Oryza sativa Japonica Group: one gene and its partners. The protein of the gene in region 1 binds, or shares a complex with, the protein of each later gene. Links are inferred from orthologs where the notes say so. Each region holds a gene or a part of one and is shown in the gene's direction. Other genes may lie near its edges.

Region 1 (6,403 bases):
ACAAATAATGTGATGCACATGCACGTGTACTGTGTAAGTATTTCAACCCATATTACAAAAGCATGTGAGAAAAAGACAAGAATAAATTCTAAACTGAAGCATCAAACTGTTGTTTATCCAAGTATGAAGTTTATCGCGACAATGATATCACAAAAGGCAAAACCATCGCTATCAACGCAATCGGCGCCTTAATAGGAAATACATATCACGAGGGAATGCATAACTGAATACTACCTCTCTTTTTTTATATACGACGTCGTTAACTTTTTTTTATACATTTGACCATTCATCTTATTTAATTTTTTAAAAATAAAAATTAAGTTATACTTAAAAAAATTGACGATAAATCAAGTTACAATATAATAAATGATAATTATATAAATTATATATAGAATAAGACGAATGTTCAAATATATTTAAAAAAATTAACAACATTATATATTAAAAAAGGGAGAGAGTTCTTGCTTGTAGAAGTAATTGAACTATTCTCTCTGTTCCCGTTCTTTCTGTTTTGTTATGTAATAGAGCTCCCTCCAAACCAACCCACACAATCCAACTCTCGTCGGTCCAACTTACTCGCATAACAGCCATTCCTCAAGAACTGCACAGCTCTATCTATCTGACGGACGGGCATACTTGCAAATACCACATAACTTATATTTTCGTCATCCCTTCGTGTAAAATGGTTAAACCCAGGAATAATATGGTTGGAAGGACAAGACCTTATAAATTGTTTTTACCCTACTAAATTAGTAATGTGGTACTAAATATACACACATAACTCTCATGAGCCACACAGACCAACTCCTAATTGAGTCAGAATGTCACATGTTCTAAGTTGAAAATGTCTAACTTTGATCAAATCTATATAAAAAAAATACACACGCATACATAGCACAACATTAAATTAGTTTTATTGAAATCCATCATGAAATATGTGTTGATAGTGTATTTATTTGGTATCTTAGATGTGTTATTTTCTTCTGTAGACTTGATCAAAGTCTTTGATTTAAGAAAAAAAAACTGAAACACTAATTGAGGGAAAACGTATCAAGAAATGAAATAGTGGGACACAGAATCATTCCAGGGTGTTCGACACTTGAACATGGCAAACGAACCCAATTTTCCTTCAAAATGCATCTCTCTATCCTCACGAGATCTTTGGTCAATTCTTCCTGCATCACGAACAATTCTCATTGAGCGTCCAAGAGCATTGCATACACAATCAAAGAACAAACTCCACGGTGGAAACCAAATTCTCTGAACCTAATTAAGGTTGCAACTTCCCCCTAGCACAAAAAACCAAGAACTCAGTAACTGAAAGTTCTAGCTAGAAACATATATATTGACCAAGGAAGAAGCAGAAAACTGCAGATTTGGGAGGTTTTCCCTCCTGCATTCCATCCTATGGAACGTGCGAACGATCTTCTCCAGATTTCGCTTGTGGAAAATTTGACAAACCATATTCATATTCAACTTTTATTTCCAATACGAATATAAAAATGTACACTTGTGTTCCCGTAAAGTGATAAAATATGACTATGCTCTCCTAGGTATTCCCAAGAGAGTCCGATACACACAAAAAGAGAGAGAGAGAGAGAGAGATTGATTTGGAGGAAGAGACGTCCCTCTAAATATTTTTTTAAGAATAAATTATCGTGTCGGGATTGAACACGTGACCTTGGAGTTGAACCACACATCTCTTGCTACTGCACTATCAAACACATGTAGAAAGTCTAACATGAAGTCTAGCCTTAAGAAAAATCTGTTACGCATCTTTTCTCTACAATTTATATTCCTTTTGAGAAAACATATAATTTGTTTATCAAGTTGATGAAATAAACAAATTTCAAACGGTTGTTGGAGAAATTAAACTAAATTACTAAAAAAAATCCTTCAAAATTAATGTGCTCCAAAGGAGCTCTCAGATAGATATAGAGACATATGCAGTGCATATGTTTTAATCCACTAGAAATAAAAAAAAATATGTAGTGGAAACATGTAAACTATAGTTGGATAAAAAGTTGATGCCTGAGATTTAGCCACATCACCTCGATAACGTGGCCAAATTATATCAGACGTTCATGTTTAGATCCAACGGTAGTTTATGGTGTCAAGTGCTCCACTGATATAGTTGGAGCAGTAAATTAGACATTTTTTCTTTTATTTATAAGTAATTTTGCTATATTATAAGTTTGTTAAATATTATTATTATATTCTTGAAAAATAGTGGTCAAAGCTACCCTTCCACCGAATAAAGTCAGGATATTCATATGTATTAAAAAGAGATGATATAACAAAACCATATCTGATGCGTTGAAACCATACAATACTAACTAGGCATTGTTAACGCAAGATTTATACTGCGTCCGTTTTTAATAGATAACGATGTTGATCTTTTTATCGCACGTTTGATCATTCGTTTTATTAATAAAAATTACGTAATTATAATTTATTTTGTTGTGAGTTGTTTTATCAATCAAAGTACTTCAAGCATGATTTATATCTTACATATTTACATATTTTTTTAATAAAACAAATGATTAAACATGTGCTAAAATGTAAATGATGTTATCTATTAAAAAACAGAGGAGTATATTGTAGCAGAATAAATTTTTACTGCTAGTATTGGGCCATAAGATGGCCCATAATCCAGCCCATCTCGGACATATCTCCGGCCTACTTAGCCCATCATAGTCGTGTTGCTCTTGCACGGGCACGGCATTGTAACGAACACCTCACGCGCACACCCTCCCCTCCCCACGGCGGCGGCGGCGGCGGCGCGTGCAGCCGGCGATTCCGCCTCTCCTCCAAACTCCGGCGGCCCACCGGCCCCGACCTCGCCGCCGCGATGAAGTTCGACCTGGAGGGCCTGACGGTGCACTTCCCGTACGCGGCGATCTACCCGGAGCAGCACGCGTACATGGGCGAGCTGAAGCGCGCCCTCGACGCGCGCGGCCACGCGCTGCTCGAGATGCCGACGGGCACCGGCAAGACGTCGGCGCTCATCTCCCTCATCACCTCCTACTCCCTCGCCAGCCCGTCCCGCCCGCTCCGCCTCATCTACTGCACCCGCACCGTCCACGAGATGGAGAAGACCCTCGCCGAGCTCCGCCTCCTCTTCGCCCACCTCCCCGCCGCCGCCTCCCGCTCCCTCCTCGCCCTCGGCCTCTCCTCCCGCAAGAACCTCTGCGTCCACCCCCAGGCCTCCGCCGCCGCCGCCCGCGACTCCGTCGACACCGCCTGCCGCCGCCTCACCGCGTCCTGGGTGCGCGACAGGGCCGCCTCCGACCCGGACTCCACCCCGCTCTGCGACTTCTTCGAGTCCTTCGACCGCGCCGCCGCCGCCGGTGACCTCGCCTCCTACATGCCCCCCGGCGTCTACACCCTCGCCGACCTCCGCGCCCTCGGCCGCGACCGCGGGATCTGCCCCTACTTCCTCGCGAGGCAGATGGTCAAGTACGCCAATGTCGTGGTCTACAGCTACCAGTACCTGATTGATCCCAAGGTGGCCAGCATTGTGTCCAGGGAGATGCAGAAGGAGTGCGTCGTCGTCTTCGACGAGGCGCACAACATCGATAATGTCTGCATTGAGGCTCTCAGTGTCAGCATCCGCAAGCAGACGCTCGAAGGTGCCGAGCGAAACTTGCGGCGCATCTCGCAAGAGATCGATAGGTACCTGGTGTTGAAGAAGCTTGCAGCTACTAATATGCATAAAAAAACATGAATTCTTTGTTTCCAGGATTGCTTTTATGATTTCCTTAAGAGCATCCAACTTTGTGATAAATAGTTGAAGCTTGCTTGCTCACTAATTGCCTTATCTGGGAGGAAGGTTCAAGGCCACTGATGCCAATAGGCTTCGTGCTGAATACAACAGGCTGGTTGATGGATTGGCACAGAGGGGAAACCTGCCAAGTGAGTACCATTTTTTCTTTCACTAATTCTGTGTCTTAGACTGCTCATTGTGGTTGGTCTTTCTGGGTCAGTTAATAGTTTACGATAAAATATTTCTTGTTATGTAGTATCGGATGCTTGGCTCGCGAACCCGGCCTTGCCTGAGGACATTCTGAAGGAGGCTGTACCAGGAAACATCAGGAGGGCTGAGCATTTTCTTGCTGTTTTGCGGAGGCTTGTCAGGTTCCTAGATGGACGCCTGGAAACAGAGAATGTTGAGAATGAAATGCCTGTTGCCTTTGTTGCTTCAATCCATTCCCAGGCTGGAATTGACCAGAAAATGTTAAGGTTTTGTTATGATCGGCTACACTCTCTAATGCTTACCTTGGAGATAACCGATACAGATGAGTTCATGCACATCCAGACAATTTGTGACTTTGCCACATTGATTGGAACTTATACACGGGGCTTTTCTATAATAATAGAACCCTATGATGAGAGAATGCCTGATATCCGTGATCCTGTGATTCAGGTACTCATTCTTCTCTATATGACAATAATCTCTAATCTTAACTGTCATCAAAAGTCGTCAAAGTGCATTATTGATATCCTAATCAATTTCTATGTGTTGCAGCTCAGTTGCCATGATGCATCGCTTGCAATACAGCCTGTTTTTGAGCGTTTTCAAACAGTAGTCATAACTTCTGGTACTCTCAGCCCAATAGACCTCTACCCTCGCCTTTTGAACTTTAATCCTGTTATAAGCAGGAGCTTCACAATGTCTTTAACAAGGGATTGCATATGTCCCATGGTCTTGACAAGAGGAAGGTATGGACCGGGCCTTCAAAATTTCATGTGGCATATATTATTTTGAAAGCAAGCAACTAATTTATCCATTGCATGTTTTAAATACTAGCATAGCATCTATTGAATCTTTCTTCATCCTTTAGAGCATCATCGCATGAACTTAGTTTAGTTTTTGTATTGGGTTTTGGCTCTCAAAATTCTAGTCTTACTGGTGATATTGCAAAATCTTGATGTATAACTTCAAATATTCCATCACATTTTCAGTGACCAGCTACCTGTCAGTACAAAGTTTGATATGCGTAGCGATCCTGGCGTTGTAAGGAATTATGGTCGGCTCTTGCTGGAGATGGCTTCTGCTGTGCCAGATGGCATAGTTTGTTTTTTTGTCAGTTACTCTTATATGGATGGCATTGTCAACAGCTGGAATGAGATGGGTATTTTGCAGGTTAGTTTCTTTACCAGTACATTATTCTGGTATCGAGCAGTCTATAGAATATAAATCTAGTGCAAAACTCTTCATGGATTATGACATTGAATCTCGTTATGTCACCATATAAAGTCTAACAATTGCACAAATGCATTGTTTCAGTTGGAAAAACTTGTAGTACTGCTCTGGAACAGTCACTTGTAGTACTATATATGGTGTCTAAGCCTCTAATGTTCTTATTACATGTGCAGTTTATTGTACTGCTAAAAAGTGCATTGTCTGAGCTGATTTCACATGATTAATGCTTTTACTGTTCTCATGAATACAGCATTCTTGGCAAAGCCTTGATAACACGCAATGCATTAGCACCTAATATGAAAATCTTATGACTTCAATTTGCAGGACATCATGCAGCATAAGTTGGTATTCATTGAAACACCAGATGTTGTTGAGACAACATTGGCTCTTGATAATTACAGAAAGGCATGTGATTGTGGAAGAGGTGCTATATTCTTTTCCGTTGCCAGGTTGGTTCACTTTATATTGGTTTTGTCGGAAAGCACCCTTCAAATTTAGTGTCAGTGTTCAGCTTCGCAATTGATTGGATTGCTTGAGACTATTACAGCTATTTTAACATCGACCCAAGTAGGTGATAATTATGTCAAAGGTGATATATAATTACTGGTTGGCCAATGGTTTCTTTATTCCTAGTATATCCGAAACAACGAAGACAGTATTAGTCAAAAATAGGTGTAATTATGTGTTAACCAAAATAAATGAATGTCCTAGTTGGTACAGCAATTCAGTAAGTAATTTCAGAAAATGCTTCAATCAGGCATCCACCAATATTTCATTGATGTGTAAACATGAGGAACTCATACGTTGAGTTTTTAAGTTTATTTCTTGCAAAAAAAATTATCTTGTCCCTGAATGCTCAAATAAATTGCTGCCATTAGCTCATCATCTGGCTGATCAATAGGCTACAATAAGCATAACCCAGTAGGCACCACGAGCTAATTTACCATCATTACAGTATATTGTAGATTGGCTACTTCTGTTCAAGTGTTATTATTATAAATGTTTAAGTGGTCTTGACTCATGGCTACATAATATGATGGACATATGACTCATAGCTAACTACCACTATGCTCAATCCAGGGGCAAAGTAGCCGAAGGTATTGATTTTGATCGACACTATGGCAGACTTGTGATCATGTTTGGTGTTCCTTTCCAGTACACACTCAGCAGGTGAGGACTTATTGTCTGAACTTAAGA
Region 2 (6,111 bases), on another chromosome or scaffold:
CTAAATGATACTTGTGATGGAAAATGCATCAAGTTTATTCACAGATAACAGAGGAACATGCATGAAGATGAAGTGCACATTTCAAGAGGCAGGGAAAATATCAGACTACTTTCATCCTACTGAAGTCAGGGTGTGTTTAGTTCACGTCAAAATTAAAAGTTTGGTTAAAATTGAAATGATGTGACTGAAAAGTTAAAAGTTTATGTGTATAGAAAAGTTTTAATGTGATAAAAAAGTTAAAAGTTTAAAAAAAAGTTTAGAACTAAACTCGGCCTTACCTGATCTTCAGAAAGACCCCGAAGTCTAGAGATGAAAATCTTCTAAACATAAGTCAAGGATCACAATGCGATGAAGAATGCATCAAGTTTATTCACAGATAACAGATTGATGAACATGCATGAAGATGAAGTGCACATTTCAAGAGGCATGGAAAATATCAGACTGTACTTTCATCCTTCTGAAGTTAGCTGATCTGTAGGAAACTAGGAACATCTTAAGGTTTTGATTGGAATTAGGATTAGTCCTAGCTTAGCTGTCATCAGTGGCATTACAACAGAAGCACAGAACAACAACCGTGGAACTGCAGCATTGGAACCTAGTACTGCAAAGTCTGTCGAAGATATTATCAGCGACACCTGTATAACAAAAGCGTGGCACATGAGACATGGATACATTCGCGCATTAGATGCGATGTCGACCAGTCAACCATGTCGATGATATAAACTATAGAGATGAATTTATAGTATAAATACTTACAGATCGCATGAACTTCGTTATTAAAAAAATCGAGGTGGTCAGGTGCCACATTGCCAATGCTGCAATTCCAACTGTCAACATAAAACTATATTTATTTTTATGAAGTGTCTGAAAGTTCAAACATGCACATGTGCAGATGTCTAGTGATTTTATTATTATGCAAAGTACTACAACCTGTATTTCAGTTTATCAAAATTATTCATCAAATTTGCCAACTGAGCTCCCCTTGCGGTAGAACATATCCATCGAAGTTCAAGTTGTAGTCTTAGTATAGGTGCTTTTGCATTTTTTTTCTAGGATTTAATCTGATGAGGTAGTATGCTGGTGCTTGCACTTTCTCGGAGACTTAATCTCCGGAGGCACTGAATGCACATAATATTTGGTGGATAAGTTTATACCCATGTTAAACGAGGCTACTGTTCGAATTTGAGTGTATGTTAGGACTTAGATGCATAAAGTTAGTGTGTGCATATGTCAACTTAACTCGACAAAGGAAATAAGCCTTACATTTGACATAAACCCCTCGTTGGATTACTTTGAGATTCGTTCAAATCCCCCCACGTTAACCCTCTTCCTTTTCTTCTTCCCTCCTCACCGATGCACGACATGCTCGACCTTGACGCCTCTTGTGCTATCACTTGGATGGAAGTGTCATTAATATTGACGGAGCCCTCCCCCCTCTATTCCTTCTCAAGCCAGCAGATGCCCATGATCCGACATTTTCCCCATCTTCGGCTGCTCATAACCACCACCACCGACTACCGCTTCTTAACACAAGCTTGCTTTGCCCCTACCGCGCTCCTTTATCCCAATGGGCGCTGACATCGCCGTTGACGCCTCACTAGCATCCATTGTCCACCACCCCCCTTGGTCCACCACTTCCCATGATCATGCCTCTAAGACCGACGATCTCCTCCCTCTTCCCCAATCCCTACCCTAAATCTAATATGGACCCTAATCCGTCGATTCTAGTTCAGGGTGGCGCCAATGTCGACAAAGAAAAGGAGGTTGCTAAAGCAAGAGGAGAAGAATATAGAGCACAAATCACAAAGCACATCTTTTTTTATCTTAATCACGAAGCACATCTTTTGACCCTAAATCTGCAAGATTTGACGATAACCCCCAAAAAATATTCATAAAATTTTAGATGGGTTTTCAGTTTTTTTTTCAAGTGCAAGCAAGTAAGGCCTCAACCGTCAAGCATGGGAAAGCTAGAAAAGTTAAGGAAAACCCACTCAAAAGCCCAGGAACCCCAAAACCTGGCCCATCTCCCCGGTCCCCGACCTCGCCTCTCCTTCCTCCTCTGCTCCCACTCCGCCTCGCCGCCGCCTCCACCATGTACGGCGTCGGCGGCGGCGGCGGCGGCTTCAACGCGCCCTACACGGCATCGGCCCGGCGGCGCAACCACGAGGACGACGACGACGAGGAGGAGGAGGAGTCCGGCGAGGGGCGCGTCCTCGAGGCCTGGGAGCGCGCGTACGCGGACGACCGGTCATGGGAGGCGCTGCAGGAGGACGAGTCGGGCCTCCTCCGCCCGATCGACACCAAGACCCTCGTCCACGCGCAGTACCGCCGCCGCCTTCTCCTCCGCTCTGCCGCCTCCGCCGCCGCCCGCATCCAGAAGGGCCTCATCCGCTACCTCTACATCGTCATCGATCTCTCCCGGGTTCGTTCCCCCGTGCCTTCTCCTAAGCTTGTCCTCGGGTCAGTCACTCCGTCGAGCACTTGGTGAGTGCGGAGTTTTCCGTGAGCTCGGGTTAGGATCACTGGGGATGGCGGGCAATGCTGATCGTGCTAACCTCTCAGTGTTTGTTAAATGCAACACCTCGTGCCGAGGCTGATCTGGTGGTATTGCCCATGGCCTCAATTTGGTTCGTGTGAAATGTGGACTGGAGGCAGTATTGTTGAATCGGTGATCACTATGTAGTGCTTTTAGCTTGATTTCATATGCTAGCTATTTCAGTGACTAGCTGCGCAATCCTCTCCACTTCCACATCAAGGTTTGATGTTTGAGTTGATGATCTCATCACTCATGTATGATTTGCTAGCTTGTCTTCTTGCTTAGGTGTTCTGCTTTTAGTCCCTGAGAGTGGGTGTTATAATCGGTGCATATCAGGGCAATACTGGAATCTAGCCATTTTTGTTTGCCATTGACCAGGGCCATAACCAGAGATTGAATGGGGGGTTTTCGCCAACCATTGAACGCAATGAAGTTCACAAACTAAAATGAAATTGTATATGGTTTGTATTAAAAATGGTTCTTCTACAATTATAATAGTTTGTTTTGTAAAGGAAAAAAATTCTTGTGCCAAAGGGTCTCCTGAGATCTGTGGTAAATAAAATTCTTTCTATAAATTACTGCACTATGACTCTTATGAGCAAGCTAAAAAGGAAAAGACATATTTCATACCCCATCCCTGTTAGGCTCATGCTAATAGCAATTTTCTCTTGGTTCTGTCCTATCTGAAAACTTCATAGGAATCGGAGGAGCGTGAGGTTTTTCATTATCAAGATTCTGAAGCGGTAAAGCGTTTTGGTTGATCGTCATTTGTTTTATGTCAAAGGAAAGGGGCACCGTACTGCATTACTGCTCCATACCATTTGACATTGTTGGAAAGTGTTTTCTGTTGATTTGAGAACACTACGTATATTTTGTGTATGCATTCATGTGGAAAAAGCCCTTTCTTCCTTTGGGTGATAGGTAGTAAATAAGATCCTCTTTGGCACAGCTCCAGATCTTAGATCCATGGTAGATTTGAAGTTTATAAATTAAATTATAATGGTTTAAAATTCTAAATTTCATTTGAAATGTGCACGAAATAATTTATTTAAATGTTATTAACGTAATCGTAGATCTAGATCCATGGATTTATGGAGCTAGAAATACCTAGCTCCAAGAAATCTTGGAGAGGGCCTATACCATTTATTTTAGCATATGTACATTTTCTTCTCACAAAGTAGGCTGCTCATGATTGTTCTGGTGATGAAGATATTTTTACTGCAAATTGATATGCTGCCCACGACTTCTTTTACTTCTTTGCATTCGGTTGTAATCTCCATTTATCCTGGTTGTATCTTTGATCATGTAGGCAGCTTCAGAGATGGATTATCGACCTAGTCGAATGGCTGTTGTTGCAAAATATGCTGAGGTATTCATAAGGGAATTTTTTGACCAGAATCCCTTGAGTCATGTGGGGATAGTGACAATGAAAGATGGGATTTCCCATCGACTTACAGAGATTGGAGGTAGTCCTGAATCACAGATTAAAGCATTGATGGGGAAGCTTGAGTGTTCTGGTGAACCATCTCTGCAGAATGCTCTAGAGCTTGTCCATGGTTATTTAGACCAGGTTCCTTCATATGGTCACAAGGAAGTATTATTTTTGTACTCGGCCCTGAATACCTGTGATCCTGGAGATATCATGGAGACAATAGCAAAATGCAAGAAATCCAAAATACGATGTTCGGTTATTGGGCTTGCTGCAGAGATTTTTATCTGCAAATATCTGTGTGAAGAGACTGGCGGATCCTACACAGTTGCACTGGATGAGGTCTTAAAATATGCTTTGTGTGTTTACCTTTCCTTATTCAGTTATTGTGAAGATAAATAATGCCTGTTTTATTTTGGCAGTCCCATTTCAAGGAATTGCTTCTGGAACATGCTCCTCCACCACCTGCAATTGCTGAGTATGCTGCAGCTAATTTGATTAAGATGGGTTTTCCGCAGAGAGGAGCAGAGGATCTTATCTCCATCTGCTCTTGTCACAAGAAAATAAAGTCGGGGGCTGAAGGTTACATATGTCCTAGATGCAAAGTCAATGTATGTGAGCTTCCAACAGAATGTCGAACTTGCGGGCTGACACTAGTTAGCTCTCCACATCTGGCAAGGTCCTATCATCATCTCTTCCCTGTACAACCATTTGATGAGGTGTCCTCCGTGCACCCAAATAGACTAGGTCAAAAGGGAGGACAAAAGTGTTACGGCTGCCAGCAAAGCTTTATTAACCCTGGTATGCAGTTCTTTAACACGTCTAACAGTACATGCTACCTTTTCAATGCATTTTCATACAAGGAAAGATATCCTTATTGTGCTACATATGTTGCAGTTGGTAGAAAAAAGAAGAGAAAATACATAATACAAAGCTTACATTTGTTTGTTATTACATGGCATCATGTTCTTCAATTACCAATCCTCATACTTCTCTTACATTTAATGTTTTTCACTGGTTTTTGTGCTAGATTATACTCCCTCTGTCCCATAAAAAACCAACATAGTACTAGATGTGGCATATCCTAGTACTATGAATCTGGACATACCTCTGTTTATATTCGTTGTACTAGAATGTGTTATATACAGTCCTAGGTTCGTTATTTTTTGAGACGGAGGGAGTACTTTGCAATTATCAGGTTTATTAATTATTTATCCAATATCCTTGCAGATAGTCAATCTAGCCTCCATGTTCGCTGTCCAAAATGCAACCAACACTTCTGCCTTGATTGCGATATTTACATCCATGAGAGCTTGCACAATTGCCCAGGTTGCGAGAGTCAGCGTAGTTCTTCATAGGGATGCCATTGTGGTGTTAATCTTTGTCTTTTTAACTCAAGAAGCTACCCGTTGCTGTAAGCTTTCTCGTACACTGACATTGGTAGGCGATGTTGTGAGGTAATCAAACAGTGTACAGATGATATAGTGCCCGGCCTCCATTTTGTTGACGCTTCCTGTTCATTTAGATGGAGTAGCTAGTTAAGCTATTTTGATACAGAGTACTGGTCAAAGAGTTGTTGAAGCCATAGCATTGTTGCTGAGGGGAGGTGTTAGAAATGTACAATGCGACTGAAAAGTGAAAACTTGTAACTCTTGCCGTTTTTCTGAGGCAAAGATGTATTCTTTCAGTGTCATAGTCATGCCCTGACATGCCATTTACGAGCAGAGGCTGTTCCTTTCTTTTTTTTTCCCCCTTCCTCTCCTGATATGCCAATATGCTGGATATCGACGGCTCGACGCACGCACGCACCCGGCGTTTTCCGTTGCTGGTTGCTGACTGTAGAATCGTCAAGGTAAGCAGTTGCCTCGTGCAATTAACTGCACAATTTCAAAGCAGGCGGAGACGCAGAACGAAACGGCAAAACGCTGGAGAGAGCACGATGTTGCTGACCCAAGAGGCTGATGGCTTACGTTTTTTTGCTGCCTCGCAATTCGCTTCTGATGGGCGGAGTCAACACAGATGCTAACTCTGGGCTTTTTCGTTGTTCCCTTTCAGCTTTCCGGTGACGAGCAGTGGCGATCATCATGCATAATTACATATACGCAGCATATCCCTGGTTCCCTACACTCTGATGAAAGTGTGCTTC
Region 3 (5,080 bases), on another chromosome or scaffold:
TGTACAACTCTTAATATTGTAGAGTAATCCTTACTATATACTCCGGCATACGTTGCATGTATAGAAAAATTTCTCCTGCACACATTACATGTAGAAAATGAAAAAGCCACAATGTGGTAGCAATAGGGTGGAAATAGTTCACAAATTTACCGATGATTGCACTGAAGAACAGTAAAATCAAATTGACTAATTTGTATAAAAATAAATTACTGTATGTTACATGTTTCATGTTATTCAGTTATTTTTCCTGTGTGGGCAGCCTGAGCTAATAATTAAAGCTTTATTGCCATGTATTTTGTTCTGCGTGTTGTAGCATATCAAACTAGTTGACGACATTACAGTTTTATTTTTCTGCAGTGGAAGTTTACCAAGGGAACCTATACCATCGAGTGTCACTGCAAGGTTGCCTACATTGGCAGAATTAGAGTCTTTTGCTCTTGAGCAGTGGGAGGTCAGGATGACAAAAGCTTATGTTTGCATGTATATTTTATTTTAGGGAAACACTTTCTATCTTTTTTTGCTCATCAGATCGTACTGTTTGAATGCTACCAATGTTCACTCCCCTAGTAAAGGAACTCATTCTTTTCTCTATGGGAAAATAGTGCTTCTTGCTGCAATTGATCAACTCATCTCAAGTCGAGAGAGGGACAAGTTTCAGCTCATCCATGATGAGAACTTTTCAGCGAGGTCTTCTGAGTTCAAGGTCCATCTTATTTCCTCCCTTGCTTTTGGCAGTGAGTTATGCATAAAATACGGACAATCAAATTTTGTAACAACAACAAAGAATATGCAGATTGCTGTAGCTCTTTCTTTTGTTAGTACAATTAGATGATAAATCCAATGGCTGTAGCTACATAGATATACACTAAGAAGAACTAGCAACTACTATACCCAAGATGGTGTGGGCTGACAGCAGATGGTCATTGGTTAATTGGTTTGGTTTATCTGTGTTCAGTTTACCTGTAAGTGAAATGGGGCTGATTGGTCTCTTAGTAATCCTAATAATCCATCTTTTAGCAGGTTGCTTTTTTTATTTGGATAGTTCAGATTTGCACCACATTTCTGGAATTTTAAAAGCTACTAGAGTTTTTTTGCCCTGCTATATATTCTCTAGCTTTATTGTATATGCTTTCCTCATTGCATATTCAAACAACAACTGAACGATAGAGTTCCTGATCTGATATATTCTGCAGAGATGGTGAAGCTCCAAGATTAACTGAGAACGGGTTCCAGTTTCTGGTGTGTCATTGGCTATCAGTTGATCCAATTATCTAACAGACTGCAGACTTCTATATTTGTTTCTCACTCTTTTCTATTTAACCAGCTGATGGAGACAAATGCTCAACTTTGGTACATCATGAGAGAATACATCTCATCAGCAGAGGTATCGGTTGCTTGCTCTTTCTAGAGCTTTTGATGTTACATTGTTGATTTATTTGTTGTATTTCCTTTGTGCTGATTGTTTTATTACTGTTGAATAGGAACGTGGTGTGGACCCCACGGAGTTGATATCATTTCTATTGGAACTTAGTTTTCATACATTAGGAGAGGTAAGTTAACCACTTTTAAAAGACTGTGGTGATGCTTCTTTTTTTTTCAAAAATCGTTTTAAAAAGTGACCAGCTCCAGTTTTTCTTTTACAGAAATTAAAATATAATTTCCCTCAATAATAGTAGGTTATATTGATATAAGAAATAAACACGGCCACATTTTACGCAGATTATAGTTTATGAGAGGATTGGGTAAATTGTAGTGGTATATGAAACGGAGCATCTCAAAGATTTTCTATTGGTTTCTGATCTATCTAACAGAATAGGGACATCAATCTAACATGCCTGCTTAATAATGCTTACTAGTTCAGACAGTACCAGAGATTTAGTGCTTAAAAAGAGGTTATCAGTCTGTAGATTAATGTTATTAACTAAGCATTATCTTTCATCTGTTGTGGAGTCCAAGCTTTGTGGCCTGGTTCATCTGTTGCAAATTCGCTTCAACATGCTGTTTAACTTATTCATGCTTCAGGCTTATAGCTTGAATACTCTGACCGATGTCCAAAGAAATGCTATTAGGGATCTGGCGGAGTTGGGACTGGTCAAACTTCAGCAGGTAAAACTTTGATTTAGTCTTTTCCCTAGTCAACTTGATGAATACAAATGTCAAGAGTTAAGCCATGGCAGGGTCGAAAGGACAGCTGGTTCATACCTACAAAACTGGCTACAAATCTCTCAGCAAGCTTGTCAGATTCATCGTCTAACAAAGAGGTTTCAGAACATTTTATATCCTTGCTATTACAGTTATTCATGACGTCCAAATCTTTCATAACCTCAATCTACTCGTCACCTAAGCAACAACAAATGAAGATGAAAATACTTTCTGTTAATAATTACATTGTATGATGTTGGTGCTGTAGGGTTTTGTAGTTGTGGAGACAAATTTCCGGATGTATGCGTACTCAACTTCCAGATTACATTGTGAAATTCTGCGCCTTTTTTCAAGGTACGTGTGGTGCTAGATGATTGGCATAACTTAGCTCAACTATGTACTGGTTTTTTAACTACTGAATTACTGATCCATAGCTTCTGTTGCATCCTTGAACGACTTTCCTCTATTTATTATTAACATTTTGCCATATGTTTGGCATGCAAAAGAGCGACGGCAGGGAGCTAAGGGCTCTATACCCTTCATCACATTTTCTTTAGTTAACCAGCGTAACTCTGCCAATTGTCATGCGAGTATATGCCATAATCTTGATTTTTGGCTATGCTCTAGTAGAATGGTGATTGGTCACTGCTGTTTCAGTGACTGATACCGTTTATCTTGGTTGAGTAGATGCCTTCATCTTGACTGAATTGACTCAGGAATGCCAACTGTTTCACTGGAATCCAGTACTAAATCAAGGTAGTAGGAAACACAATACAGTGAAGATGACTGTATTAATAACTGTGTTGTAAGTAATATTGCTTATTAATTTTACAGGACACTTGCTTAAGGTTTTATTAAAATGACAGTAATAGTGGCGACTGTAGATTTTACCTTATATTACTGTCATCCTCCATTCTTCATTGAATGTTCAATAAGGATATTTTTGCAGAGTGGAGTATCAACTTCCAAACCTAATTGTGGGATCTATTACAAAAGAAAGTCTTTATGGTGCTTTTGAGAATGGGATTACCGCTGAACAGGTATCACTTGGAGTATGAATTTCTGCATGATCCATTATATAGATACTCAGAGTCATTCTTGTTTTGTGTTGTTTTTCAGATAATTTCATTCCTTCAGCAGAATGCTCATCCTCGTGTTGCTGACAAGATACCTGCAGTCCCAGAGAACGTTACAGATCAGGTACAACTGAACAAGGCAATGTTTTCATCCATGGCCAACCGTATTTGCCAAAGTAATTGAATTGGTAATTCCTCCATGCAGATTAGGTTGTGGGAAACGGATCGTAACAGGGTTGATATGACCCTATCGCATTTATATGAAGATTTTCCAAGCAAGGTAAAGCCCAGCATATTTAACTTGGAAATAGTACTGGGACAATATTGAGTTGCTTATACCATGTTGGTGTGTGCTTTTCATATTAGTGTAAACGCTAACATATTTATTCTACTGTTGCTTGTGCAGGATATGTTTGATCAATGCTGTGATTATGCAAGAGATCATGGGTGCTTGCTGTGGGAGGATGCGAAGAAGATGAGATTAATTGTACGAGTGGAGTTCCATTCAGAAATGCGTGAGTTCCTCCGGAGGCTAAGATAAATCAACTATAGTTTGCATAATTTATTCAATCTATGTACTCCTATATTCCTGCACAGTAAGAACTTTATCAATGACTGTTGTGCACCAATTTGGCCCATTGTCACACATGAATATATCCACTGGCTGCATCATGTTAAGGAGTTGGAACTCGCTGAACTTTTGAGTTAACTGCTGTTACCCTGTTTATTATTACGGAGTGCTCCATCCGTCCAGTCCAAATTAGTTGTTTTAGGATAGATCACATTTTATTCTAGATATTTTTCTTTACTTATTCTAGATGATTACTCCGTGCAAGAGAGGAGCGATTAGAGGGAGAGACGAGCGATCAGAGAGGAGGGGGAGGGTGTGTGTCAGGTGTCAGGTTTTCACCTGTGTCAATCCGTGTGAGAGAGGAGACGGGTTATCATTAACTAGGAGGAATCATTTCTTGTTACAAGGTGTCAGAGAGAGAGAGAGAGAGAGAGAGAGAGCTAGAGAGAGATAACTAGGAGGAATCATTTCTTGTTACAAGAGGTGTCAGAGAGAGAGAGGAGACGGCTAAACCACGCAAGTAACCAGCTCGAGTATATAAACGCGGGTTACATAAGGAGTCTCACGCCTCTCACCCCACCCCACCCACTCCTCCGACGAGAGTAGACGAGCAGAGCAAAAGCCGGCCGCCGGGCATGGGGAAGAAGAAGAAGAACAAGAACAAGAAGAACAAGAAGTCGTCGGCTCCTCAGGCGCGCGGCCGCGGCAGCAACTCCGACCGCCGCTCCTTCACGCGCGGAATGCTGCAGTCCATCAACAACATGACGGTCATGCGCGCCACGCCTCGCGACCCCTTCGTCGTCGCTACTGTGACGGGTCGTTGCGACGGCGACCCCATCGACGTCGCCAACCCCGACATCGCCGCCGCCGCCGCCGCCGCGGCCGACCCCGTCGTCGCTCCTGCTGCTGCTGGTGGTCCTTGGGACGAGGAGGAGGAGGTGGAGCCGGCGCCGGCAACTACCGACCTACGTGCTGCTGCCACCACCGGAGGCGAGGCGACCGAGACCGAGACCGCCGCCGTCTGAGCTGAGGTATACTATCTGCATGCGGTCGGGTTGGCCTACGTTGAGAACTGGATTACCTTTCGTTGCATTTTAGTTTGGACTACGTAGCTTGCATGTTGTCTGTGATAGGATCAGTAGCGATCGCCGATCGATGGATATCTGTGTGTACGTATGGTTTTGCACTCGATCGTCGTATTTGAACAAAGATATATATGTGATATGCTGATCTGGGGATATATGTTACTCCTATGTGGTGATGCATTTCTTGGTGTGATGATCGATGCACG
Region 4 (6,380 bases), on another chromosome or scaffold:
ACCTCGGTATTTACCTGTCATAAAAGTTCCATCTATGCATAGAACAGGTCGACAATGCACAAAAGCATTGATGCAAGCACCCAATGAGAAAAAGGCTCTTTGCAGCATACTCTTTGTTCGATCATCAACCGATGTAAATGTATGTAGGTCATAGTACGTATTATTATTCCTCTGGGCAATGGTGGCTAACAAACGAGGCAAATTATCATAAGAAGCTTCAAATGTGCCATACCTCATCTCAATGATCTTTTGTTTGGCTCTCCAGGCCTTTGCATAGCTTATGGTGTACTTGAATTTGTTCTCGATGTGCCTAATAATTGATTTTGGTTCAAAGCCAATGTTACCAACAACACTGCTGTACATCTCACTTGCCACAAAAGCTGAAGTGATGTTTCGGTGATACTTCTCCACCCCTTGTAAGTAGCACTTGTGCTCGGTCACAATGCTAACTTTCCAATAATCATTCCATTTACCCTTATATGCATGGACACGCCACGGACAATCTTCCTTCATGCACCTCACTTCATACACATAATTTGTTGACTTGACCACCCTAAACTCTCTCTGCAAGGAAACTGCCCAATGCTTCACCGCCTCCTTCATCTCATCCTTATGAGCATACCTTGCACCGTCAATTACCTCGTTCTCCTTATACTCCCAGGGTACATGATCACCCTCTGATATAACAAGTCCAGAGAAGTCCTCATTTGCCCAATCAGTGGCCATTACATCACCTTCCTCATCGGATGATGCGTCGTCGTCCGCTTCCTCATTATCCGAATCTTCCCTCTCCATTTCATCAACAATTATACCGACTCTCTCCCCCTCATCCGCCATGCCCATAGCCTGCTCCTCCCTTGGTTGATTTTCCTCATTTTGCATCGATGGTCCAACAACATCCCCTGCATTGATAGGACCCTCTACATCTTCGGTTTGCATTGAAACATTTATATCTTTCTCTTGTACCGACACAAATATAACGAGGGGCCATGACCGTTCAAAAGCCATTTCCACATACCGTCTCCAAGCATCAGTGCTGTCCATCGGCATTAGTTCCCAAAAATAACCTTCTGTTGCACGACTCACTACAACTGACACTGACATTGTGTAGACTTCTTGGTCTATTCTAAATCCTCTCAACAACCAACTATAAATTGACTGAAATGTTCTCTCCGCAGGCCTATCGATGCCCTTAGATGTCATTACAAAATCTGACAGATCAACACCATCTGGACCAAATCTAATATTTCCTTTACCATGAACTATCTGAAATGTGACCTTACTTGACATTGTGCCTGATGAAAACAATAACTGCGTTAACCTCGCATTTCTGTACTACGCCCTAAGTTACATTCTCTACAATATTGTTCTCTAAATTTCTAAAATTACGTTACATTCTCCAGATCAAACTAAACTACATCTTACAATTAACACTACTGTCTATGTCTCAATTCATACTATTATATTCTATGCTCTGGATCTACACATATGTGCTATGTGCTACAGATGTGCTAAAATATATGGAACTAAAACTAAAACGCAACATATATACTCAAACATAACATATTAGTACAAATGCAAAAGATGTATGGGAGCATACCTGTGATGAATTGAGCGAACCAGCAGGGCTTCGCCGCTCCCCTTCTGCTGCCCTCCCCTCTCTCTCTTTCGTTTTTTTTGGATTTTTAGTGAATATAATGAAATTTCACAGAGGAGGGACTGGGCTTTATAGGGGGAGGCAAAAATCGCCCTCCCCCAGGGCGGCAAGGGGGCCGCCTGCAAAATTCCATGCCCCCTCGCCGCCCATTTGCAGGCGCCCCCCCCCCACAGTACAAAATCGCCCTAGCGGAGGGCGGCAAGGGGGCCGCCTGCAAAATTCCATGCCCCCCCTCGCCGCCCATTTGCAGGCGGCCCCCCGCACAGTATAAAATCGCCCTAGCGGAGGGCGGCAAGGGGGCCGCCTGCAAATTTCGTTGACGGCCGTCGCCCGAGAGCGAACGGCCGTCTGCCACGTCATTTTCGCCGCCCTCTGAGAGGGCGGTAGGCGACTACTTCCGTCAATTTTCAAAATGGAAAATTATTTTTGTAAAACTTTTAATAAAAAAATTATAAATAAAAAAAATTCGTCGTCTCTTGCCGCCCCCAAGCGCAGCCGCAACTCCGCCGAGTTCGCCGCCTCCGCCTCCGCCTCCCGACGGCGGCAAGGCAACCGCTCGCGCCGCCGCCGCCTCGGCCCAACCAGCGCCTCCGTTCGCGCGTGTCCGGCCCTGCCGCGACGGCGGTGAGACTGCCATGGCCTCCTCCAAGCTCTACTCCGGTAAGCGGCGCCCGACCGTCTCCGTTTTCTGATCCCTTTGCGTCTCGCTAATCTTCCCCCCTTTTCTCTTGCCTCGTCTCCACCGCGCCTGCGCAGATGACGTCAGCCTCGCCGTCGTCGTCGTCGACACCAACCCCTTGTTCTGGGCCACCGCCGCCCTCCCCTTCGCCGACTTCTTCGCCCATGTACGCCGCGACCTCCCAAACCCTATTTCCCTTCTCGTCCCCCGCTTCCCCTCTCGATTTCTAGTTTTTGATTCACATCTATATCATGGGGATTAACCACGGAAACACGATCAGTATCTAGTTGCATTCACGCTGATCTAGCTAGTTTGATTTTATTCTGACTCCTCCAGAGAGGATCAATCTCTAGTTGCTCGCTGATCTAGTTAGTTTGATTTTGACTCTGAATTCTCCAGAGAGGAGAGGATTTACACTTAATACTGATGCAATTCCGGGGTGTATGTAGCTGATCCACTACGTGAACTCGCTCTTGCTTCTGAACCACCTCAACCATGTGGTCGTCATCGCCGCGGGGCTTAGCTCTTGCACCTACATCTTCGACTCGAGCGATGCTAGTGCCTCTGGTGCTGCAGACGTCGCGGCCACCTTCGCAAAGGCGAGCCGCAAGATGGATGAGTTCATTGCAGAAGACGCCCGTGCCACTAGCAGCAATGGTTCCGTTGCTGATGGCAATGCAGCCTCTCTTCTCTCAGGCGCACTGTCCCTTGCTCTGTGCTGTATCCTATGACTGGTACTGATTTCTTATTGTTAGTGCATTTTCCATTTGTGCTTGTATTTCTTAACATGGAGGATGCTTAGATATACAGAGGGTTTTTCGGTCTGGTACTCGACATCCACAACCTCGGGTGAGTATACACTCTGTGTGTGTTCTAAGTTACCTTTTGTTCTGATTCCTGTTGATATGTTGACCTATGAGAACAACATAGAAGGGAGCATATCAGTTAGCATAAATGTTTACAATGCGCATGCTGTATGGACTAAAAAAACCTGATAGGCATCTGACCCATCACTAATGATATAATTATTTAATTTTCTTTGTTTTCTTGAATTTTTCTACTCAATATCCTCACAACTTATTCTAGTGGCATCATGTATTATGCTAACACGAAATACAGATTTTATGCCTGCAGGGTTCTCCAGATGGACCTGAACAGTACGCACATTCATCGATTTGATTGTGTAGTATATATTTTCTGGAACATGTTTTAACTCAATGAGATGCTGCGCAGATATGTAGCGGTCATGAACTCAATATTTTCTGCTCAACGTTCCATGGTATTGCATGAACTGTCACTATTCCGTACATTTGGGTTCATTGTTCAATTCATTTTATTGATACTCTTGATGTCACCTCACCATTTCACAACTGTAGTGGTTTTAGTGAGTCCCAACTGCAAGTAGCACTACCTCTAGACATGTCTATATGACTATATACATCACCAGTTTCATTGCTTAAAACATTCACTAACAACTTTGGTCCTTATTTTTTTTTTCTATCAAAAAAATTTAGGTCCCAATCGATTCATGCATAGTAGGAACCCAAGACTCTGCTTTCTTGCAACAGGTAATGTTCTTCAGTGCCTTCTTGGTCTTTCTTTCCATTTATAACTTCTTTTACATGTATGCCCCCATAGAGCTGTCTATTCCTTGCTGAATGCTGATCATATACTGGCCTTTCATTTGCAGGCTTCATATATAACAGGTGGAGTTTATTTGAAACCCCAAGAACTAAATGGTCTATTTCAATACCTTGCTGTAAGTCATTCTGGCACTTCTGTAGCAACACACATATTTTCTCATGCAACCATGGTTACATCTTTATAACTGCATGATGCATTTATATAAAGCCTGTGGCCATCTTTTCTGTGTAATAATGAAAAATTAAGAAGGCAACTAACCTCCAGCACATGAATCTGATGTAACTCTTTAAAAGAAAAATGCCAGATCAGCCCATTTTCATTTTGTGAAAAAAAATAATATCAACTTTCATCTAAGGTTGTCTAGGCTCTTCTGTTTTCCTGCCTTTGCTTGAATGTAGAATGTACTAGTAATGTTTGGGAACTCATGCATCTCTAGTGAGTGTGGCTTGTTTAAAGTGTGCACTCAAGCATAATATTTCCTGTATGTCTCAAACTGTCAATCTGGGAAGATCAACACAACTACATCTCTAAACTTTAGTGCCAAATGATTTTGGATGCTACTAGTAGACTACAAAGTTGAATGCCCTCTCAGTGTCTATGTTCATGAGTTCATCTCCTATGTCAAAACTCAATATTTTCTGTCACTAGAGTGGGGCACATAGATACTCCATCTTCCTGGTACTGGTAGTATATCTACCTGTTAATCTAGAATCAGATTCACATATATATGTACAATACACTAATGAACAACAATGGAATCATCAGATTATGGCGTGATAGACTGTGCTGTTTACTTCTGACCCAAATCTATTGCTTCAATATCAGCTTACGTTGACCTGTTTTTGGAATATATATATTAGTTCCAAAGTTGCTCTGTTTTGTGTTTGTCTTTATTCTATCTGAGTAGGAATATTTCTATTTCAGATAACTTGATTAATTTGCTTGAGCTCAATGACTCATTTCTGCAAATATGCAGGCTGTATTTGCAACTGATTTACACTCAAGAACCTTTCTGCGCCTCCCCAAGACTCTGGGAGTGGATTTCCGTGCTTCGTATGTGTCACTCAGTTTCCTCTATTAAGTTCTCTAGGCATTAGGCATATCTCTGTTTCTTCATCTTCTTGAATGCCTTGTGACATAGCTATGAGATGCTTGTTATAGATCTGAAAACATAGCATAATACCAATGACAATTTCAGAAAAATGTGAGAAACATACAGCTAATTTTTTTTGTGAAGTTCTATCTTACCAAAGGCCTTAGGTCAGGATTAGCAGCTCAGTTTATTTTTGTTTTTAAGTTTCCATTCAGTTTGTCTGATACTGGTGGCCTTTCAACTGCATCTAATTTGCTATATTTCTTTTCAGATGTTTCTGCCATAAGAAGACTATTGACATGGGATATGTTTGTTCAGTTTGTTTATCGATATTCTGCAAGTATCATAAGAAGTGTTCGACCTGTGGGTATGTTATAGTTGCTTTGTGTTTCTATTCTTTTGTCTTTTTCCTGAGAGCTTTAATTTGTTTCAGTAAGAATCAGATTGTTTGCTTGTTTAATTTGATGTGCTCCGTTCACAGGTCAGAATTCAACCGTGTCATGCCCGACTTAAATTCTGTACCTGATCAAAGGCAGTAGTCTACACTACAGATGGCGAAATATCAGACTGCAGACTTCTCTTTATGTTCTCCACAGGTTCGTCTGATGTGTCTCTTAAGAAACTTCGGTGCCACTATCTTCTATAGTTAAAAGATCTCATTTGTAAAATATAGACTACTTCATCTGCATTAGCTGACCCCCAGACATGCATTATGCGTTAATGATGATGACATGCACATACAGTGCACGCCATATCTAGTCTAGTTTCAAATTTTACCTACCTTGTGTTCTTATGTGCGTAGGTTCATGCCCGTGCTTTGTTCCATTCTGAAATGTGGTTCATTTTCCAGGAACATCTATCCTAGCATTTTAGCCTCAATGACATGCACATTTATTTCTTAGATACGATACATGATGCTGGATCAGCCTGTCCCTGATTTTGACAGGTTCAACTGATACAGAATGGGCATTGTGTGCATACTTGAAGCAGCGTCAGTTTAGCAAAAACTAGGCAACTGGGCGTAGCAATTTTGTCAACTGATGAGGGAACTCACGCCCGACTTTTGGAATTAGTTTGCCTGCAATTTGTAAAGTTGGCACATGAACTTGTGATGCACCATTTGCAAATGCTCTTTTTTGCTTACCGAAAACAGGACAACAGGTCAAGCTAGTAGATGGCAAATCATTTTTCTTGTCATGGTGACACAGGTTGCGCTAATGTCTTGATATATTACTTCGAGCTCCAAGAACAATTTTGATTTTTAGTTTCCTATAACGGCTGTGTGCACTGCCGATGGAACTGTGCAG

Evidence for each region.
Region 2: general transcription and DNA repair factor IIH helicase subunit XPD (region 1) and general transcription factor IIH subunit 2 share a complex: the UniProt entries of both Arabidopsis thaliana proteins name them as parts of the 7-subunit TFIIH core complex. The link is inferred for Oryza sativa Japonica Group from reciprocal best matches to the Arabidopsis thaliana genes UVH6 and GTF2H2.
Region 3: general transcription and DNA repair factor IIH helicase subunit XPD (region 1) and general transcription and DNA repair factor IIH subunit TFB2 share a complex: the UniProt entries of both Arabidopsis thaliana proteins name them as parts of the 7-subunit TFIIH core complex. The link is inferred for Oryza sativa Japonica Group from reciprocal best matches to the Arabidopsis thaliana genes UVH6 and AT4G17020.
Region 4: general transcription and DNA repair factor IIH helicase subunit XPD (region 1) and general transcription and DNA repair factor IIH subunit TFB4 share a complex: the UniProt entries of both Arabidopsis thaliana proteins name them as parts of the 7-subunit TFIIH core complex. The link is inferred for Oryza sativa Japonica Group from reciprocal best matches to the Arabidopsis thaliana genes UVH6 and AT1G18340.

What each region holds. Positions count from the first base shown.
Region 1 is NC_089039.1:2,600,859-2,607,261, reverse strand, and holds the start of general transcription and DNA repair factor IIH helicase subunit XPD, read left to right. Parts: upstream 1-2,710; 5' UTR 2,711-2,851; coding exon 2,852-3,675; intron 3,676-3,832; coding exon 3,833-3,915; intron 3,916-4,022; coding exon 4,023-4,426; intron 4,427-4,528; coding exon 4,529-4,722; intron 4,723-4,965; coding exon 4,966-5,146; intron 5,147-5,530; coding exon 5,531-5,655; intron 5,656-6,286; coding exon 6,287-6,376; intron 6,377-6,403. UniProt on the Arabidopsis thaliana protein: ATP-dependent 5'-3' DNA helicase, component of the general transcription and DNA repair factor IIH (TFIIH) core complex, which is involved in general and transcription-coupled nucleotide excision repair (NER) of damaged DNA and, when complexed to CDK-activating kinase (CAK), involved in transcription by RNA polymerase II.
Region 2 is NC_089038.1:25,935,583-25,941,693, reverse strand, and holds general transcription factor IIH subunit 2, read left to right. Parts: upstream 1-2,001; 5' UTR 2,002-2,092; coding exon 2,093-2,422; intron 2,423-3,845; coding exon 3,846-4,307; intron 4,308-4,387; coding exon 4,388-4,766; intron 4,767-5,195; coding exon 5,196-5,323; 3' UTR 5,324-5,689; downstream 5,690-6,111. UniProt on the Arabidopsis thaliana protein: Component of the general transcription and DNA repair factor IIH (TFIIH) core complex, which is involved in general and transcription-coupled nucleotide excision repair (NER) of damaged DNA and, when complexed to CAK, in RNA transcription by RNA polymerase II.
Region 3 is NC_089038.1:35,246,569-35,251,648, forward strand, and holds the end of general transcription and DNA repair factor IIH subunit TFB2, read left to right. Parts: intron 1-357; coding exon 358-451; intron 452-602; coding exon 603-703; intron 704-1,193; coding exon 1,194-1,239; intron 1,240-1,324; coding exon 1,325-1,384; intron 1,385-1,481; coding exon 1,482-1,550; intron 1,551-2,022; coding exon 2,023-2,106; intron 2,107-2,177; coding exon 2,178-2,261; intron 2,262-2,410; coding exon 2,411-2,496; intron 2,497-3,091; coding exon 3,092-3,182; intron 3,183-3,261; coding exon 3,262-3,342; intron 3,343-3,423; coding exon 3,424-3,498; intron 3,499-3,624; coding exon 3,625-3,759; 3' UTR 3,760-3,927; downstream 3,928-5,080. UniProt on the Arabidopsis thaliana protein: Component of the general transcription and DNA repair factor IIH (TFIIH) core complex, which is involved in general and transcription-coupled nucleotide excision repair (NER) of damaged DNA and, when complexed to CAK, in RNA transcription by RNA polymerase II.
Region 4 is NC_089036.1:1,354,128-1,360,507, reverse strand, and holds general transcription and DNA repair factor IIH subunit TFB4, read left to right. Parts: upstream 1-2,138; 5' UTR 2,139-2,292; coding exon 2,293-2,317; intron 2,318-2,413; coding exon 2,414-2,502; intron 2,503-2,785; coding exon 2,786-3,056; intron 3,057-3,138; coding exon 3,139-3,185; intron 3,186-3,455; coding exon 3,456-3,493; intron 3,494-3,569; coding exon 3,570-3,615; intron 3,616-3,850; coding exon 3,851-3,904; intron 3,905-4,026; coding exon 4,027-4,095; intron 4,096-4,956; coding exon 4,957-5,033; intron 5,034-5,344; coding exon 5,345-5,440; intron 5,441-5,554; coding exon 5,555-5,612; 3' UTR 5,613-5,669; intron 5,670-5,923; exon of another isoform or gene 5,924-6,019; 3' UTR 6,020-6,348; downstream 6,349-6,380. UniProt on the Arabidopsis thaliana protein: Component of the general transcription and DNA repair factor IIH (TFIIH) core complex, which is involved in general and transcription-coupled nucleotide excision repair (NER) of damaged DNA and, when complexed to CAK, in RNA transcription by RNA polymerase II.